Oryza sativa Japonica Group: one gene and its partners. The main gene of each other region encodes a partner of the protein of the gene in region 5 in a complex. Links are inferred from orthologs where the notes say so. Each region holds a gene or a part of one and is shown on either strand. Other genes may lie near its edges. The genes, in order: NAD(P)H-quinone oxidoreductase subunit N, chloroplastic; photosynthetic NDH subunit of subcomplex B 4, chloroplastic; photosynthetic NDH subunit of lumenal location 1, chloroplastic; photosynthetic NDH subunit of subcomplex B 1, chloroplastic; photosynthetic NDH subunit of lumenal location 5, chloroplastic.

Region 1 (2,889 bases), on a different chromosome or scaffold from region 5:
GGACGGGGAATGGTTCACCGTCCCCGCCCCCGTCATCCCCGATGGTGAGAGGTTTTTAACCATTTCATTCCCCATGGTGAGTGGATATTAACCATCCCCTGTCACCTAATAGGTGAATTCACCGCGGGGAAATGGTGAACGGGCCCCCATTGCCATCTCTACGCCCGGCTGGATCTGGCGGTGGGGCAGAGTGGTCGGGCGCAACGATTGGAGGTGTTGGCGGCGGCGGAGGAGGAGACCGCTAGATCCGTGCCTGGATCTAGCGGCGGCGGGCGAGGACCGGCGCCACTACGGCCGGATCCGGACGGCGACGATTGTGGGCGACGGTGACGGCGGTGGAGGTGCGGGAGGCTGCGTGAAATCCTAGCCCGGTCTTGGCCAGACCAGCAACGATGATGTTCGAGCGTCATTCCCCTCCTAAGGCCGTTGTTATGCCATCTCACCCTCAAGTGTAGTTGTCGGGCGAAAGCCTAGTCTTGGTTCGATTTGAGATCTTGATAGACTGTGGCGGCGATGTTTCATCACTTCTCTCCGTTTTCGTGGTAGAAACTAGAAACATCGTCTAGGCATCACCTTGTTGAAACCCTCAAGCTTTTGGTGCAAGCTCACTCTAGATTCTCATCCTCTTGTGACAGCGTTCTAGTTTCTGCAAGTTGGCCATGTCGAAGGGACTAAGGGAAGAGGAATTTCATTCTTCTCTCTCACCCTCTCCCTAAATCCCGAAGACTTGGATAGAGTGGTTTTGCGTTGGTTGTAAGGGTCGGGTTTGGGCAAAATCTCGGCTGTGTTTCGTTGTTGGCCTAGTGGTGGTCGGTCACGCTTAGCGGCGGCTGGCCCGGTGATAGCCTTATCTTGATTTTGTGTTGGTGCTATCGGTGTGTGGGTGGTGATGTACTTTTTTTCATTTTTCTTGGTTACAATATTACAACATTGTAATCTTGTATTTTTTTTCCTACTCTATCAATGGAACTTACGGGTTACGGCTTTCTGGTGTTGGGGTTCGTATTTGGGCCTGATCTAGCGTGGTTACATGCTTGGGCCACGTCTCGGACCATCCGCTTGGGTGGACTCCGCGGAGATCACCGCTCAGTTGAACAAACTGGGCGCACGACACCGTCTCCGAGTCTTATCCGCTCAACGCGGTCAGTACGCGCGCGGCTGTTATCTTCCCGCCACAGGCTCAAACAAACGACACCCACCCACCCACACACACTACACTACAGCAACCAGCGATGTGGTCGGCGGCGGCGGCGCGCACGGTGACCCCGCTGCCGGCGGCGTCGCCCCTGCAGCAGCATCAGCAGCGGCGCGGGGCGTGGGCGCGGGTGGGCAATGGTCGGGCGGCGAGCACGACGGCGGCGCGGGCAGGGCTGTGGGACTTCGTGGGAGGGGACCTGGTGAAGCCGGACATGGGGCGGTGGCTGGACGACGTGGAGAAGCACAAGTCGCTGGCCATCTACCCGCCGCACGAGGGCGGCTACGAGGGCCGCTACCTCAGCCGCCTCAGCTACCAGGGCTACTACTTCCTCGACCTCTCCGCCCGCGGCCTCGGCGACCCCGAGACCACCCTCACCAAGATCCACCCCGTCTGCCCGGTCAGTCCACAAAACAATCCTCTCTCTCGATCTCGATCTCGAGCTAGCTAGTAGCTAGCTGCCTCCGATCATGGCTGACACGAGCTTGCTTGCTTGATTGCTCTGATGTGCGCAGCCGAGCCTCGGGAGGCAGCCGGTGGCGAGGTGGTACTTCCCGCCGGAGGTGGACTACAGGCTCAGCTTGCTGCACCCGGACGCCAAGGGCCTCGTCGTCTGGGTCATGGAAGCCAAGGTCTCCATCCATTGATCCATCGATCTCACCATCCTGTTCTCTAGCTCAGCTCTGCAATTTCCCGTTTCGTTTCTGCGTCCCGTTAATTTGTTTGGTGGTTTCTATTTCTGCAGGTTCTCTCCAAGGCCGAGCTGCAGTTCCTCGCCATTCTCCCTGACATCCGCCCCAAAGTCAGGGTGATCGCGGAATGCGGCAACTGGTACGTAAACCTGAACCCCGAAATTAATGATGACGATGTGTTCTTGTGATCTCTGAATTAAATTCTGTGCCCTGTTTGGCCCAGGAGGAAATTTGTGTGGAAGCCGCTGAAGCAAATCGCGGGCCTTGAGCCGGACCCTGACGCAGAGGAATGAACAAGATCAAGACCATTAACAGGCAGCCTGAAACAAAGTTACTTGATATATATCTCATCCAACACACATTGTTTCCCGCTTTGTACTTCACTTGAGAGAGGCAATGAAGAATGTACATACATTTTGGCTCAAATTACCCCAAGACAACCATGTAAAATCAAACTTTCACATAATACAAATCCATCAGAAGACCATGCGATCCTTTCGTCTCATCAGCGGCGTAGGTAGACAAGGTCGGTGCTGAGCAGGAACGGGTACCCGATTCCCCTCCTCTTGGACGGGAAGAGCACGAAGAGGAGGCTGACCACGAAGCCGATCACGAGGGGCACCGTGTTCACCACCTTCCTGGGCACGCCGGGGTAGTAGCACAGCACGATGTCGTGGTGCGACGCGGCGAACGTGACGAAGGCGACGAGGGCCAGGGCGGTGTGGAAGAGGTCCGACCACCGCAGCCTGTACCTCTCCGGCTCCCTCGGCCCCGCCTTCCCGCCGCCCCGCCGGCGACGCCGGCCGCCGACGCAGAACGTGCGGATGCCGCTCGTCGTGGCGATGCCGTACCGGAGGCGGCCGGTGGGGGAGCGGAAGCTGTCGGTGAGCGTGAAGAAGACGCAGGAGGCAGCGCAGAGGAGCATGAGGGCGCCGGTGAGGGCGCGGTTGAGGCGGGTGCACTTGCCGTCGTCGGTGAGGAGGGGCGCGAAGATGGCGAAGG
Region 2 (3,361 bases), on a different chromosome or scaffold from region 5:
ATGATTTTTTTTATGTTTCACTCATTGGTATTTAACGTTTTGTGTAGTGGTTGTGATTGTTTCAGTTAGTAAATTGTTGTATTTCTCTAAATTTGAAACAATTCACGAGGTGAGTTGTAATATTTGTGTACATGTGATGAAACAGTTTTCTATCAATGGTGAGACAAGTTATTTTTTGAGACACATGTATATTTTTATCAAAATATAACCATGTGAGATCTTGTTATAAAGATTTAATGATGATGAATCTAATGGTATCATTGAAATTTAGATCAGAATATATAATTTTGGAGAAAAAAATATTTAAAATTTGAGGAAAAAATTAGGCACATGTAATAATAGAAGGGAGAGGGAGGGAGCGTATGCAAGCAGCAGCGCAAGCAACACATACAGGGGAGGCAAGCAACGTGGCACGTGAACAATGCAGCATGGGCGGCCTACATGCATGCGTATGCGCGCGGCAGTGCGGGGGTGAGCGTTGACCAGCAAGTGAAACATTATGTTATATATGGTGAAACAAAAAAAATCAACAACCGAAACATTTAAGTATTTTATGAAACATGGTGAAAATACACGTTGAAACATGTCGCTGGCACATATGAAACAACAAGTATTAACGAATTGAAACATATATTTTTCTTTTATCAAAATAAAATCATGTGATATTTTATTGTAAAGATTTAATTAGAACAAATATAATGGTGTGATCGGATCATAAATTGGATAAGTAATTTAAGAGAAAAATTATTTTGAAGCTTGCTAAAATACATACATGTGTGCATGGATGAGGTGGAGAGAGAGGAGAGAGAGTAGTAGCAGTTAGTTTCATGAATTTTGTGAAACACACCGATGACACATATTGAAACATATCACTATCACGTACGAAACATTTTGTTTTAACGTTTTGAAATACATGTTTTTCTTTTGACATAATATAATCATGTGATATCTCATTGTAAAGATTTAATTGCAACGAATAGAACGGTGTGATCGGATCGTAAATTGGATAAGTAATTTAGGATAAAAAATATCTAAAGAGAGGAGAAAAGAATGAAAAGAAGCAGTTAGACACATACGTTACAGTGACAGGGTTCGTTCTCACATGCCTGCATGGGCGTCCGATTTTTGGTGAGATGCCGGACGCCAAGCCGTAGCGCCCTCCAAGAAATGGCGGACGGATGCACGTAACGGGCCACGAGCCCACGGGTCAACCTAATCCCATCCGGCCCAAACATGACCTTGACCGGGCAAGGCCTAGCAACGCTCAAGCCCGCTTCAACCAAGCCCAAAATTCTTGTGCTTTTCGTCTGCCCAAGATCAGACAATGGTTGGCCACCCAAAAGTCTGACCTTATCCACTAAAATTTTCCATACAGATTACAGGTTACAGGTTTCACCCCTGAGCCAAACGTGAGCCCGCTACACTGACAACAACAAGCTCATCGCCAACCCGCTACTGAAGCAGCAGCCTACCAGCAATGGCGTTGCCGCTGCTCAAGTCGTCCCCCCACTTCTCTGCTCTTCACTCCGCGAACAGAGCCCAGCTCCATGGCCGCTGCCGTGCAACGGTACCGCACCGTCCATTCTCCCCTTCGCGTTCATGCAAAAACTGCTTTCCTGAATTCCTTGCGAATTTCACCTACTTGTTCAAATGTTGTTGTTAAATTTGCAGCTCGGTGGATTCCATGACCCGAGGTCCAACTCCAGCCGTTGCAAGGTGAAAGGTCCCAGTGCATTTTAATTTTTTCACCGAGAAAGAAGAAATCCGTGGTGATTGGTGAGGCAAAGTAATGCGGTCTTAGCGTTTGCAGAAATCGGCCGGGAGGGGTTCAGTGAAGGCGAACGCGTCCCCGTTGGACGTGGTGACGCTGATGGTGACGATGGTGGAGCACGTCGACCTGCAGAGGGACTACGTCGTGCACAAGTCGATCTGGCATCTCAGCGACGCCGCCCTCAAGAGCGTCTGTGAGTCGTCGTCGTCGTTTCACCTTTCCTGCAGTTTGTTGTTACGTCTGAAACTGAAACTTTTCACAAAAAAATTTCTCTGTCTGTCTCGTAGATACCTTCTACGCCTTCTTCACAGTCTGGGGCATCTGCTTCTTTGCGTCCATGAAGGCAAGCACGCAGAACATATGCCACTACAACTTGGAACGAAATTACATCTTCGATATGTGTTACTGACACGGTCTTGTGTGAATTTACAGGATCCTTTCTACGACAGTGAGGCGTACAGGGGACAAGGGGGTGACGGCACCGTGCACTGGTACTATGACCGGGTATGTCTTTCATTACGGCTTTTTTTTTTTCCTTTATCACGAAGAAAGAACATTCAGACAATTAGACAAACTCTAGTTGTGCGAAGCTACTAAGATAACCAGTCATTTTGCTGATCGATCTCCACTCTCCCATGGTTGATTCTGCAGCAAGAGGACCTGGAGGCGTCTGCAAGAGAGGAGCTCCTGAGGGAGGAGCTACTCGAGGAGATCGAGCAGAGGGTCGGAGGGCTCAGAGAACTCGAGGAAGCAGCCAAGGAGGAGCAGCTTACAAACTGATGGATGAATGAGAGATTGCGCATGGATGGATGACTGCATGATCATGGCGCGATGCGGCTGCATTCTGTAATACCGTACAGAGCGGCTGTGTAATAGCAAGATACACAGTTGCCTGATAGCGCCTGTAAATGTTGGCATCAGACTCAAAAGGAAAGCAAATAGGTGCTCCGTCTGCATGAATGCATTATATTGCATTTGTAGTGTAGGCTAAAAGAAGGAATGTACTACTCCATGTTAATCAAAGAACCTGTACCGTTCACCATGGTGGATATTGCTTCCAAAATATATAAATTGTGTAAATCGACTGATATAGACCTACACCATGGTGGATATACGTGCCCTGTGGAGACGGAAGTTTTGTCAGATCGCAACCAAATTGTGGCGATCCAATATGCTTTCGTTCTGTCGGCTCTCACGGTGTCGGGCCAACTTTATTTGGGTCCAGTACAGAATGGTAGCGATTATGGGCTACCTTTACCGGGCCGCTCGGTGATGGACTGGCCCAAAAAACTCCGTTAGTTCGGCCTGCTTGCGCTGGTGGTCGCGCGCTGGGAATTGGACGCCATCGTCGGCCACGGCCATTCGATCGAGGAAGAAGAACCGCTGATCATACTTGAGCTGCTCCACTACAGGCCGCGAACCAGCAGCAATCAGTCTGCACTCAACGTACAGTACAGACCACACTACCACAGTAGGTAGCACATGTATATACTACTTGTATAGGGTGCAGAACTTCGTAGTATTCCGTCGATCAGCTCATCAGTCATCAGAGACTAACAATAGTTATTTCGACACAGGTCTCTCGACAGG
Region 3 (3,681 bases), on a different chromosome or scaffold from region 5:
CTAGCGCGTGATCAAGTTCCTTTTCGCTCTGTTCAGCCAGGGGTCATGGTTCTGTGGCTTACCGTTTTGTCGGAGGAAAAATGTTAGGTGTCGCTGGCGCTGCTCTGAATGAGCGGAATGGTGACCTGGTCTTGACAACAAAATTTTAGTCTGAAGATTCAGATGACTAGCTTTGTTGAAACTCTAGGAACTTATTCTGGAAATAGTTAGCGGGTTTGGAGGGGAACTTATTCTGGAAATAGTTAGCAAGTTTGGAGGGCATTGTAATTGTTGTAATATATGAGTTGCAAACATTCTTTCTGAGGCCTGTGTACTTGATTCCTTTCGCCTCTGTAATGTATTGGTTTGATCGTGCACACGTCTGTATAGAAACGCTGTTGATCTGTTAAGTCCTTGGCTCCGGAGACTATGGCCTAATGGTCTGCCTTTTTAACTGATGGCTACTCGTCGCTTGCAAGTTGCAACTGATGGTTGAACCGATTCAATCAACATAATTAGATGGCTATAATAGAAAAATAGCTCTAATAGCATACACACAATTAATTAATTGAAGTCTATAAGGTAATTATGCATCCTTTTTCCTGGAAGCTGAGCCAGGGTGTTCGATCCAGCACTTTTTCTAGTGGTAGATCAGCGTCTGTATGTATGTATGTATCTACATGACTACGAAGCAATAAAATAAAAGATATTTCTGCAATTGAACTGCCTCCCATCACGCGGTGAGGTCGGACAGCTTGAAGGAGTCGGCGACGACTTTGAGCCTGTTCCTCAGCCTACTCCATCGCCGCTCGTTCGCCGTCACGATCAGTGTGTAGTACCGACCTGCCATGCCATTGCCATTGCCATCAGGTTAACCAGCTTCTTCTTATGAGAGGAAAAAAAAATACATGCATGATGAAATATACAATTTAATAGATGATGATGATATATATCTCTGCGATCTTGTGGTGAGGAGGCATCATATCAATATCATACCGTTTCCAATGGCAACCGTCGCAAATGCGGACACGCCGTAGCCCGGGGCCTCAAGATCGTACTCAAATGTCCAGTAGTTCTTGCCATCCACGGTGCGCTGCGAATCACAACAACTCAGTTGCTTATTTTGCTTGCAGAGTTGTTGCAGTCTTTGTTATAGCCATTCCAATGAGATCAGACGTAAATTAATCAGCGAAAGAGCAATGCAGCGACAGTTTGGTATACTCAGATAGATCATATGGCTAAATAGTATTGATTGAAGGAGATGGATAAATGGCAAACCTCTTGCATGTCATAGACAGTTGGTATTTGATTTGGAGCAGCATAAACATTGTTCACCAAATTGAAGATCGCCTGATAGAGGAGTATGTAAATTGTCAGAATAAAAAAAATCTATGATGTATAACAAAAGAAAAGGCTAAAAAAATTGCCTGATTCCTTTACATTACCAAGAAAGATATTATCAGATATCGCATGAAATCCTACCTCATCCATTGGACCAAGGTCACGGATATCTGTTTTTGTAGTAGGAATGAAGCCCACACGCACGCACTGCAGCGCTACATTACGATCTTTGAACGCTGAATCATGCCCCAGGAAGTCGAAATCCTGAAGTGACACATCAAAACAAAGGGCATACATCAATACCATGTACCACCGAAAACACAGTCATTGGAACTGACATCTCTGTTCTTCAAGACGAAAATATTGCAACCTACCCTCCAATCAGCTGGATACAGGTATGAATATCCATCTTTTGAATCCACATAAGACTTGTAATTCTTTGGCACTTCTGGAATATAGGAACAATCCGAGTTAGTATCATCTCATGGTGCCATAAAGGCTTAATGGCTACTTGAGAAGTGGGAACTTGTATGTAACATGCAGACAACCTAGTACTGAAATAAAACCATGCGACAGTTCAGATGGCCATGCCTTCAGCATATGCAGAGCTGCTCTTTAGCAGACCAGTGGCTAATGCTCCAGCACCAAGCAGAGCTAATCTCCTCCTTGTCACATCTGTAAGATGGAGAGATAATCAGCCAAAAAAAATGTTAATCTTCAGAAACAAAATGCATCGAGAGAACTGACAGAGAGGAATTTACTCTTTTCATCCGAGGATGCTTCACTCGAGCTAGCGTTGACGACTGACAGAGGAGACGCATTCAGCTTGCTGGTAACAGCACAATTTGGAGCAACCAACTGAAAACAACACCGATATAAAGTGGTGAAATAAACAAGATTCAGAAAACGATGAGAAGAGGGCACAAGCACACACCTGCTTGGAAACGGAGCAGATCAAATTCTGCAGGCTTGCCATTTCACCTGCAGGAGTAGCTATGAACCTGAAGAAAATACGTGTTCTTGCCTTCCTCCAGTCAAGTTATCCTTTGCTGCTAGGACTGGCTCGTTCGCTTTTCAAGTGTAGTCTGTGTGTCTGTGTGAGTGGAGGGCAAGGAAGCCAGGTCAGCATTTCCATTATCCTCATTAGAACTTTTGGCCTTGTCTCGTACTGAGCACTGACTGACAAAATGGGACCAATCCGTTCCTGTTGTGATTGTGGTGGAGATATGTGAGAGCTTTATGTTTTTCCAATTCTCTTTTTACCTTTTTTTTTGTACATTGACTTTGGCTGAAAAACAATATATGTACACACACACACACACGATCCTACCATCAGATCATGCGATACATATTCGATAGCTTCGATGTAACAAGAAAGATGATTTTGACTGTGCTTCAAACTTGGTAGATAAATAGTACAACAGCTGCGAACTAACGCATTTAGCCATAGCAAATAAGCAAAGCTGCAATTAGCAACCATAGTGCCACTAGCATAACAAGACTGAATTTGCTCCAGACTGTTCACAGCGAAAGGGGATGCTTGAAACAAAATTTTCAGGTTAACATAAATAATATACAACAGCAGCTAAGATATTTTGAGGCTAGTAGTTCTTTGGGGCAGGTTTCACTAAACCCAGTCCAGAACCACTCCCCAAATGCTTGAAATCTCTCGCCTCTAGACGCTCATCATGGGCAGCGAATCCAGTTCCTCCTTTTTCCAAAGGAACGAAATTCCTCTCCTTGCACGGTTTGTTGCACACCAAGCAGACCTTATCAGTTACAAGGAACTTGTCAGAGCACTTCTTGCAGAAGACATGGCCACACGTGCTGATCGTCACCAGGGACATGGTGTTTGTTAGGGTAGACTTGCAACTGGGGCACATGTAGCTCTTCTCCACCGACTTCTTGTTTTTCTGGTCGGTGTTTTCTTCAGTGAAGGAGATAGGGAAGAGCGATTTCAACTTGAGCTTCTCCTGTCCCTCGGGGCAGATTGTGTCAGTGGAGGGAGCTTCTACTTTGGCAGTAGCTTCAGGTGTAGCTGATGGAAGCCAGAATGCCTTCATGTTGCGAAGGGCTTCCTCCTCAAAGGAAGTAACCTTCACGCTGTTTGCTCCATGAAAACCATTCTTGTCTTCAGAGCCGCTGCGATCGTGGTATTGGGGGACGGCTCCATGATTCTGCTGATCAAAAGCGTCCAACTCCTTGGACTTTTGCAGCATACGCTTCTCATCCTCCTCTTCCTTCTCCAGCTTTTTCTGGGCCTCATGAGCAGCAAGTTTGCTGGAAGAACAAGAATTAACACTCAGAATTCCATCCGATTCATTCAGTTATACAAGCAGAAGATTTAAGATTATGTACGGA
Region 4 (4,007 bases), on a different chromosome or scaffold from region 5:
AAGATGATCTAAGGTGTTTTCAGATTGCAAAGTGATTGTAATGAAGAAGCATCAAAGAACCTACTTGGCCAGGAGTGGTGATGAACAGGATATTGGTGTCCTTCCCCACAGTCTCCTCAACCTCTTCCCTGTGCTTCTGATGAGGGATCACAAACAGAGGCTTCAGACCATTGTCTTCAGAGCTGCCAAGACACCACCATTTTTTTGGCTTTAGTTCTACCTTCTCACAATCGGTACCAAGCTGGAAATGTAAGTGTAAGAGCAGCCGTGCTTGAGTGAGTGAGTGAGGTGAGGTGAAAAACCTGATCTCCTTGGCGATCTCAGCCCAATGCTCGAGAGGGAGGAGGCAGTCATCGTCCCCCCTCGACCTCATGTTGGCGAAGGAGTCGGAGGCGATGCCGTGGACGACGACGAACTTGCCCTTCTCGACGCCGGCACGGCTATATTTGTCCTCCACGAACGCTCGGAGCTTCTTGGAGATGGACACCCGCAACGGCGGTACCGGGTGCTCCGGCACACCCTTCGCTGGCCGCCCAATCCACTCCAACATGTCCTGATACCTAATCCATCCAGTTGCACACTCTTCGAAATCAGAAAGCATTTTGCAAGAATTTTATAGGATTTTGACGGTAATTGGTTCAACTCTTCTACAAGAATAATTGAGCAAGATTCCTAAGTTGCAAAAGAAGAGCTAGGCAATATCTGCTTTACTATAAGGGTTATAACTCTGCCTCTGCTTGTTTGTCTTATTAGCCGCAACCAAATATTAAATTTTAAAATTTAATTTTAGATTTGATTTTGAGTTTTCCTTATCATAGTTTATTTCTCAATATTGACTTTTGAACCATTAAGAACAGTTAAAAGTTTTGCCAACAAATCATATTCGGTTGCCTAGTTCATTTTGTTATGGCTTTTCAACCTAAATCAAAGGCAAAAGATGAGACAGTTGCCCCTATATAAATTAAATGCAACTATACAGCACAAGAATGCCAAAGCAGTAACTTTTTCGGATGAGGAAATTATAACAGTTATGAACCAAGGGGAGGCGAAACCGCGGAGAAGAGGAGGATGATGATCTTACATGTTGTAGCCGCTGTCGGCGAGGTTGGTGGTCGGCGGCCGGAACATCTCGGTGAGGAACAGCCCGGCGCCGGCGCTGTTGACGTTGGGGTAAACATAGCCGACCTTGTCGCGGGCCGACGACATGAAGAGGAAGAGCGCGTGCCCTATCCCGGCCAACTTGGTCGATATGATCAGATCATAGTACCTGTTCTGCCAACCTCAACACAAAATCAAGCTTCAGTTGGTTGAATCTTTCATGATAAATATAATCTAATCAAAATACTGAGCATATGTGGTGGGGAAGCAACATAATTAAGCAGGTTTATCTGATATTATTATGTTTAGAGAATCACAATAAATTTTGAACAAATTCAGCGCATATATCGAACCGGCTCGAGATGTGCAACTCCAATGGTTTGTTTGAAATTTGTCGAAATTAATGAAAAACCGATTACTCACTATGGCTCGAAAGTCGAAATCTGCTGACCATTAGAGAATGTAAACCTGGGCTGGGCATGACACTTCTGAAGGAGAGAGAATTCTAATCTCTCGAGAGGATATCTTCTCGTGTAATTTTTATTTTCTAAATTCAATGTAATTGGTTGTGAAAAATTCTAAAAAAAAATGACAATGCATAATAACATCTATTACTCCATAAAAACATATTTAAATTCGATCTATGCTTTGAGGAAACAAAAGACGAATTCAGACATGACACTACTCATATGTTGGATTTTTTTTTAATTATTTCTCAATGTGTGAGTTGAATTTTGACTTGATTTTTTTTTGAGTACTTTACACGTACGGTGTGTATGTTGTCAATTTTGAAAGAATTCTTAACAATTATTTAGATGAAGTTTGAATAAACGAGTGGACATAATCCCTTCTCGATCGAGTTTAAAACATATACATCCCCACTTTGAGTGACTATTTCTGTACGTAGCAGTGACATAATTTTTGGTTTACCTTGAGCACGCCGAGCTGGTGGGTGTACTCGGCGGGCTCGGGCCAGTCGTCGTCGGGGTCGTAGACGTCGGCGTACCTGACGTTCTTGCACATCTCGTACACCTGCTTCCCCCTCGCCGACGCCACCACGTCCACCACCACCCCGGGGTACCTGTCCCGCAGCAGCTGCACCACCGGGAAGAAGAGCACGTTCTCGTACACCCCGCCGGACACCACGCAGCACGCCCGCCGCACGTCGCGCCGCACCTTGGATGCCAGGCTATCCAGCTCCGGGTTGTACCCCGCCGGGAACCGCAGGAACCCGTACGGGTTCGCCGGGTCCTCCGGCGGCCGCGGGTCCTCCTCCTGCTTCCCCCCCGAGAACGCGCCGCGGTAGTCGAACTCGTCGTCGGGCCCGTCGTCGAACGGGTCCAGCCACGGGTTCTTCTTCTTCGCCGACGCCCGCGCCACGCCCGCGCCGCCGCGCCGCCCTAGCTGCAGCAGGTGGCAGCAGCATTGCCTCGCTATCGGCAGCGACGGCGGTGAGGGGAGCTTCGCCGGCGTGGCCATGGACGTCGACATGGTTGGCGTCTGCATGCTTGTTGCAGAGTGAGTGTGCTGATGAGTTGCTTTGGATATTGCTATTGTTTTTATTTATTTATTTCTATGTTTTTTGTTTTTTGGTGTGTGGAGGAGGGGTTTGGATGTGGTGGGTTAGGGATGTGTGGAGGAGGAAGGATAAAGTGCACGATGATGGTGCCAATTGGTCCTGTTTTCTTGTGCCACCATTCCTCGATCTCCTTTAATTTGGTTCATCCTTTTTGTTGATGTGGCAGCTGGCAAAATCCCTCCGAAAATTCTTTTGGAGTTTGGATTATACTTGTGAGTTTCTACAAGGATCTTTCAGAATGGAGTAATTGTAGAAGATTTATCTTTATGACAGCTGAACTAATCCTATCTTACTATAAAATTACCCCCCACTAACTCATTTAAGCTTAACATGCAAAGATGCCACATCATTATCCACTAATTAACCAGATGCCACATCATCATCCACTAACGATCATCACATTTAAACATCATGCAAACATGTTATATTATCTATAATTTTATAGTTTTTATAATTTAAGAGCTTTTAAAATACAAGCATGTTAAATTATCATCCCACATAATTCACACAATGTTTCAATGTATATCTATATTTTATAAAATCCTACTCCATCCGTTTCACAATGTAAGTCATTATAGCATTTCCCACATTCATATTGATGTTATGACTTACATTGTGAAACGGAGGAAGTACATACTTATATAGTTCATCCTCACTTAGTTAGTGCTTAAATGATTAATCTATGGTCCAAATTATATTTCTCCTTTTTTCCTCTAATTAAGTCATATCACATCAATTGTTTTTAGCCTTTAAATGATTAATCTACGGTCCAAACTACCCTACTTTTCTTCTTCCATAAAGTCATACCACCTTACTTTTTACGTTTGAATCACCATTCTACATACTATTTAAATTTAAATTATCATAAATCACATTAATTTACTTAATTTGATGTTATCTAGCTATCTGTCGGAGATATGGGCCCGGGGGTATGTAAAGTGAGGGGAATTTACCTTCCCATCCAGCTACGTGGCCCTGCAGCCTGGCCCTACCCCCGCACCTCGCGAATCGCAGAAGCGGCCGGGGGGCCTCAGGGTGCCACGTCATGCCCCTCGGGCCCTCGCGCTGCCCTGCCCCGAGGACCTCGCCCGACTGCCATGTGGCAGGGGGAGCGAGCGGGGAGGGGACCCAGGCTGAACCGCTATCAATGCGCGCGGCGCCCCAACTGCCCCTCACCGCATTTAATGCGGTAGGGGCAGACATGCGGTGCCGTCCGACTGACGCACGTCAGTCAGGACTAACCAGTCTGTCACCGGCCTGTTGCCGGTCACGTCTGACTGGACGGGCGGCCGTGCCCCCACGTCGCCTTTTTCTCCAGCGGAGTGGAGGT
Region 5 (4,080 bases):
GTTTTTTTTAGGACAGAGAGAGTATGCAGCAACAAAAGGTATTGGGAAAGGAGTAACTTTAGTCTGCGTATGCACGAAAAGACAGACATTTGATCTTTCATGAACCACAACATTATTTCCTGACCCTCGACAGGTAAGAACGTTTTATTCCAGCCGAACAATAGAGGATTCTTCTCAACTTAGAAATCTTGGCCTCAACTCAGCATGATCTCTGACTGCGCGGAGAACATGCGATAAGTTCACAGCTTACTATGAAACCAAAAACAGCAAAGTCTCCGGGGGAAGAAGATTAGCCCTCTGGCACCTATTAGACCACTGGAAGCTCCCCACACTCACTGATGACCACCTTCTTCTTCGGGCGGTCCCCTCTGTCAGTCTCCTGCGATTCGATCATCTTAACGATGTCCATGCCTTCAATAACCTGCCCAAACACGACGTGCCTCCCATCCAACCAAGGTGTCTGCATTCGCAGGTAGCAGTCAGCGCAATGTAATTTTGAGTGAGTTTCGACACTAGTACACAGTGAACATATCAGTACAGTGTTACCTTGACAGTGCAGATGAAGAACTGGCTGCCATTGGTGTTTGGCCCAGCATTGGCCATGCTGACCACTCCAGGTCCAGTATGAACCACTACAAACATTACAAGACATATAATCAGCACAACCACAAGATAAGAAGCAGAAAGAACGATCAGATTAGGTCATTTGTCAGACGTACATTTGAAGTTCTCGTCTTTGAAGGTCCGGCCATATATGCTTTTCCCTCCAGTACCCTGAAATATTCATTTTTTGAAACCTACTTTATCCACATGCAGAAGTTGAAAGCTGAATGATTTGATGTAGGCTAGGTCAAAAATTCATAATTCATGAAACCAGGCAGCTGCATGATTTAATTTAGGCCATCAATTTAAAGAAAAAGGATTTGGTGCTAATCTCCTTGTAATCTAGCCATGAAGTCAATAATCACTGCATACACATTATGCTGATCACAAACTACCAATTCATACTCATAATGTACATGATGCAAAGCAGTATAATGATCTAAAACACCATAGGGCAAGCACTGAAGTGCATAACACAAAGTTGTATAATGATCCAAAACACATATATAGGTCAGCTTTCTATCCAAAACAGCATAAAGCGCTAACATTGATAAAACAAATCAAACTTTTTTTTTTTTGGAGAAATAGTTGGCTCAATGGTGATAGATAGAAACAAACACATGAGCTCATTCAGTGTTGTGAGTAATGTTACACTATGTGACTTTTTCCAATAGAGTTTGTCAGATGAAACAGAGGAACAAGTGCAACATAGGAGTAGATTATAAAGAAAGTAAATAATGAAGACATACGTTGCCCTTGTCAAAGTCTCCTCCCTGAATCATGAAGTCCTTAATGACACGGTGGAAACTGGACCCCTTGTAACCAAACCCTTTTTCTCCTGAAAAGGAAAAGGGCAATGGTATGTGTATCATGCACCAAATCTGGGTAATCCTGTAAAGTAGTAGATGACAGAAGAGAAGAAAAGCAAGAAGCCCTTTGTACCAGTGCAAAGAGCACGGAAGTTCTCTGCGGTCTGGGGAACATCATCCCCGTATAGGCCAATAACGACCCTCCCAACGTTCTTCCCAACAGGGTTTCCGATGCTTATGTCAAAGTACACCTTGTTTGTGATTTTGGACTGGAGGTCCACTTCCTGCAATGTATGGGAGAAGTTTAGCAAAACTGAAAGAATAAATTTGAAGCGTGGTATCCAGTTCTCCCACATAGGGTAAGAATAATCGATACTTGCGCTGTTCTTTTATGTATGATGTTAATTGAACTAACCAACGTCATATATTAAAGGAAGGAGGTAGTATATCGTAAGTTAACATCTAGTGGAGGAAAACATGAAAGCGCATAGTGCACATGGGAAAGGAAAACCCAGCTTTCAGTAGTACAGAAGGGCACACGTGTTTCCTCACAATGTTGCAGGCAGTCACTGATGATGAATAACGTGTTTACATTCGGTGCACATACAAGGTAAGACCTGTAAGTAGCAGAACCCTATGGTCGAGGCAACTAAAATTATTAATCAGAGCAGGTGAATACATAATAAAGCATTGGTGATGATAAGCCTGAAACTGCAATTTTGGTAGCATAAATTTCACCTGGTGATTTAAAAATCTGATAACAAAATTTGACATACAAAGGCATTACTAGTATTAGTTTTAATTTAATGGTGTTGGAAGGTCGAGGTCATCTGTGCTAACCCAATATCTCTTCCTCCAAAGAGGCAACAAACAGGGGCCGGTATTGCGGAGGCTGATTGCATAATAATAGTCCAGTAAGGTGGAGTAGTAAATTTGACTGATATACTACTAGACAGGATTACAAGAATGGATGCGGTGCGGCAATAGAAAGATATATGTAGGGCAGATAAAAGAAGAAGATCCGGGGACACAGTACCTTGGGGTCAGCGGTGGCGGAGGAGACGAAGCGCGCGCGGCTGTGAGCAGCGGAAAGCGCAGGAGTGAAACCTCCAAAGACGGCCGATGAGGGGAGGCGTGCGGTGCCGGTGCCGGTGCGGATGGAGAGGAGCGGCGAGGGGGTTTTGGAGGCGAGGAGGGCCCGCTCCGCCGCCGGCCGCGCGATGGCCTGCAGTGCAAACACAAGAGAAGAAAGAGCGACGATAATAAGATTGAGAGCTCGGTGGGGAAGAAGAGGAGAGCAGAGGCCATGGATGAGTGAGCTTACGAGTGTGGCGAAGGAGGTTGCGACCGCCATTGTTGATGTTGAGGAGGAGACCCTTTCTCTCTCTCTCGCTCAGGTGGATTGGGATTGGATAGGTAGATAGGGCATTGCACTGGGATGAATGGATGGCATTTTTGCATATGTGTGCACAGGAAATACAATAATCACACACACCTTCTTCATTGGGGGAAGTACTATATTTTATTTTTGGGACCAAAAGCATCTGTTAAATCAACTCTATTTGTCCCAATCCAACTATTTAAAATTTATTTATTTACAGTGTCTCTTTCTATAATATATCGGTAAGTTATCAATTATTATACAATATACCATCGGACTATACTATTTTCAAAAATACCTAAAATACACCATATAAGGTTAATATTTGATTTATCCTACCATAAGTTTCAGAAGAAAAAAAATGCTAGTTTATGCACTAGTTTTAAGATTTTACATTTTTATATTTTTTTAAAAAAAATTATTTATCCATTATATACTGCAAGAATTTTTTTTTTGCTGTTTTTAATGTAACTTTTTTCGAGAACATACCTCATTTCTAATGTAAATTATCTTTTGCGTAAGTAATTTCTCTCTCATAAAAAACTCAAAAATATTTTTTTTAAAAAAGTGAAAACTTGAAATTTATATATAAACTTTCATGTTGGGTAAGTAAGCTACATAAACAATTCATATTTTTAAACCCTTAGATGAATAAATTAATTGTTAACCTTATATGTATTTTGAGTATTTTTTAAAACTAGGACCTGAGTAAATATTTTTCTTGAGTTTTAGGTTATAAGACTTCACATTCATATATGTCTAGATCTATTAACACATATATAAATATGGACAATGCTAAAAAATAAGAATAGGAGGTGGTATTATTTTTTTTTTGGTAGAGAGGGGAGGGGGCCGCATAGGAGGCAGGAGGTAGTAAAATGGGCTGATGGGCATAGTATTCACGGGGGCCCATGTAATAGATGGGATGGGCTTGAACACACATGTAATGTAACAATAGCCTCGGTCGAGGTGAGGTGGAAGAAGCAAAGCAATCTCCGTGAGCGGTGATGGCGCAGCAGTGGCGATCTCTCCTCTTCCTCCTCCTCCTCCTCCTCGTGCCCTTCGCCGCCGCCGCCGGGCAGGATGCGCCGTTCGTGGTAGCACAGAAGAAGGTTGCGCTGTCCCGCCCGGGTCCAGGCGTGGAGCGCCTCGCCGTCACCCTCAACCTCTACAACCAGGGTTCCGCGTCAGTCCCCTCCCCATCTCATCTCCCTCTTCCCCCAGATTTAGATCCACATCTCTCTCTCCCTCTCTTCACTTTGTTAACCTATTATTGCTCTATCCGCC

What was found.
Region 1: photosynthetic NDH subunit of lumenal location 5, chloroplastic (region 5) and NAD(P)H-quinone oxidoreductase subunit N, chloroplastic share a complex: the UniProt entries of both Arabidopsis thaliana proteins name them as parts of the chloroplast NDH complex. The link is inferred for Oryza sativa Japonica Group from reciprocal best matches to the Arabidopsis thaliana genes Pnsl5 and NdhN.
Region 2: photosynthetic NDH subunit of lumenal location 5, chloroplastic (region 5) and photosynthetic NDH subunit of subcomplex B 4, chloroplastic share a complex: the UniProt entries of both Arabidopsis thaliana proteins name them as parts of the chloroplast NDH complex. The link is inferred for Oryza sativa Japonica Group from reciprocal best matches to the Arabidopsis thaliana genes Pnsl5 and PnsB4.
Region 3: photosynthetic NDH subunit of lumenal location 5, chloroplastic (region 5) and photosynthetic NDH subunit of lumenal location 1, chloroplastic share a complex: the UniProt entries of both Arabidopsis thaliana proteins name them as parts of the chloroplast NDH complex. The link is inferred for Oryza sativa Japonica Group from reciprocal best matches to the Arabidopsis thaliana genes Pnsl5 and PnsL1.
Region 4: photosynthetic NDH subunit of lumenal location 5, chloroplastic (region 5) and photosynthetic NDH subunit of subcomplex B 1, chloroplastic share a complex: the UniProt entries of both Arabidopsis thaliana proteins name them as parts of the chloroplast NDH complex. The link is inferred for Oryza sativa Japonica Group from reciprocal best matches to the Arabidopsis thaliana genes Pnsl5 and PnsB1.

What each region holds. Positions count from the first base shown.
Region 1 is NC_089035.1:38,936,195-38,939,083, reverse strand, and holds NAD(P)H-quinone oxidoreductase subunit N, chloroplastic, read left to right. Parts: upstream 1-1,127; 5' UTR 1,128-1,232; coding exon 1,233-1,595; intron 1,596-1,710; coding exon 1,711-1,827; intron 1,828-1,940; coding exon 1,941-2,026; intron 2,027-2,110; coding exon 2,111-2,180; 3' UTR 2,181-2,374; downstream 2,375-2,889. Other genes in the region: protein DMP7, read right to left, coding at 2,393-2,889. UniProt on the Arabidopsis thaliana protein: NDH shuttles electrons from NAD(P)H:plastoquinone, via FMN and iron-sulfur (Fe-S) centers, to quinones in the photosynthetic chain and possibly in a chloroplast respiratory chain.
Region 2 is NC_089036.1:31,695,996-31,699,356, forward strand, and holds photosynthetic NDH subunit of subcomplex B 4, chloroplastic, read left to right. Parts: upstream 1-1,371; 5' UTR 1,372-1,477; coding exon 1,478-1,567; intron 1,568-1,671; coding exon 1,672-1,716; intron 1,717-1,810; coding exon 1,811-1,964; intron 1,965-2,058; coding exon 2,059-2,114; intron 2,115-2,203; coding exon 2,204-2,275; intron 2,276-2,422; coding exon 2,423-2,551; 3' UTR 2,552-2,858; downstream 2,859-3,361. UniProt on the Arabidopsis thaliana protein: NDH shuttles electrons from NAD(P)H:plastoquinone, via FMN and iron-sulfur (Fe-S) centers, to quinones in the photosynthetic chain and possibly in a chloroplast respiratory chain.
Region 3 is NC_089037.1:9,604,700-9,608,380, reverse strand, and holds photosynthetic NDH subunit of lumenal location 1, chloroplastic, read right to left. Parts: upstream 2,417-3,681; 5' UTR 2,297-2,416; coding exon 2,255-2,296; intron 2,179-2,254; coding exon 2,082-2,178; intron 1,996-2,081; coding exon 1,912-1,995; intron 1,769-1,911; coding exon 1,695-1,768; intron 1,585-1,694; coding exon 1,462-1,584; intron 1,330-1,461; coding exon 1,258-1,329; intron 1,073-1,257; coding exon 976-1,072; intron 823-975; coding exon 713-822; 3' UTR 509-712; downstream 1-508. Other genes in the region: E3 ubiquitin-protein ligase CSU1, read right to left, coding at 2,922-3,600. UniProt on the Arabidopsis thaliana protein: NDH shuttles electrons from NAD(P)H:plastoquinone, via FMN and iron-sulfur (Fe-S) centers, to quinones in the photosynthetic chain and possibly in a chloroplast respiratory chain.
Region 4 is NC_089042.1:10,686,213-10,690,219, reverse strand, and holds the start of photosynthetic NDH subunit of subcomplex B 1, chloroplastic, read right to left. Parts: upstream 2,802-4,007; 5' UTR 2,605-2,801; coding exon 2,029-2,604; intron 1,273-2,028; coding exon 1,082-1,272; intron 561-1,081; coding exon 303-560; intron 183-302; coding exon 65-182; intron 1-64. UniProt on the Arabidopsis thaliana protein: NDH shuttles electrons from NAD(P)H:plastoquinone, via FMN and iron-sulfur (Fe-S) centers, to quinones in the photosynthetic chain and possibly in a chloroplast respiratory chain.
Region 5 is NC_089039.1:192,249-196,328, reverse strand, and holds photosynthetic NDH subunit of lumenal location 5, chloroplastic, read right to left. Parts: upstream 2,804-4,080; 5' UTR 2,767-2,803; coding exon 2,737-2,766; intron 2,638-2,736; coding exon 2,449-2,637; intron 1,697-2,448; coding exon 1,546-1,696; intron 1,442-1,545; coding exon 1,353-1,441; intron 775-1,352; coding exon 720-774; intron 633-719; coding exon 547-632; intron 461-546; coding exon 308-460; 3' UTR 71-307; downstream 1-70. Other genes in the region: uncharacterized protein, read left to right, coding at 3,801-3,979. UniProt on the Arabidopsis thaliana protein: NDH shuttles electrons from NAD(P)H:plastoquinone, via FMN and iron-sulfur (Fe-S) centers, to quinones in the photosynthetic chain and possibly in a chloroplast respiratory chain.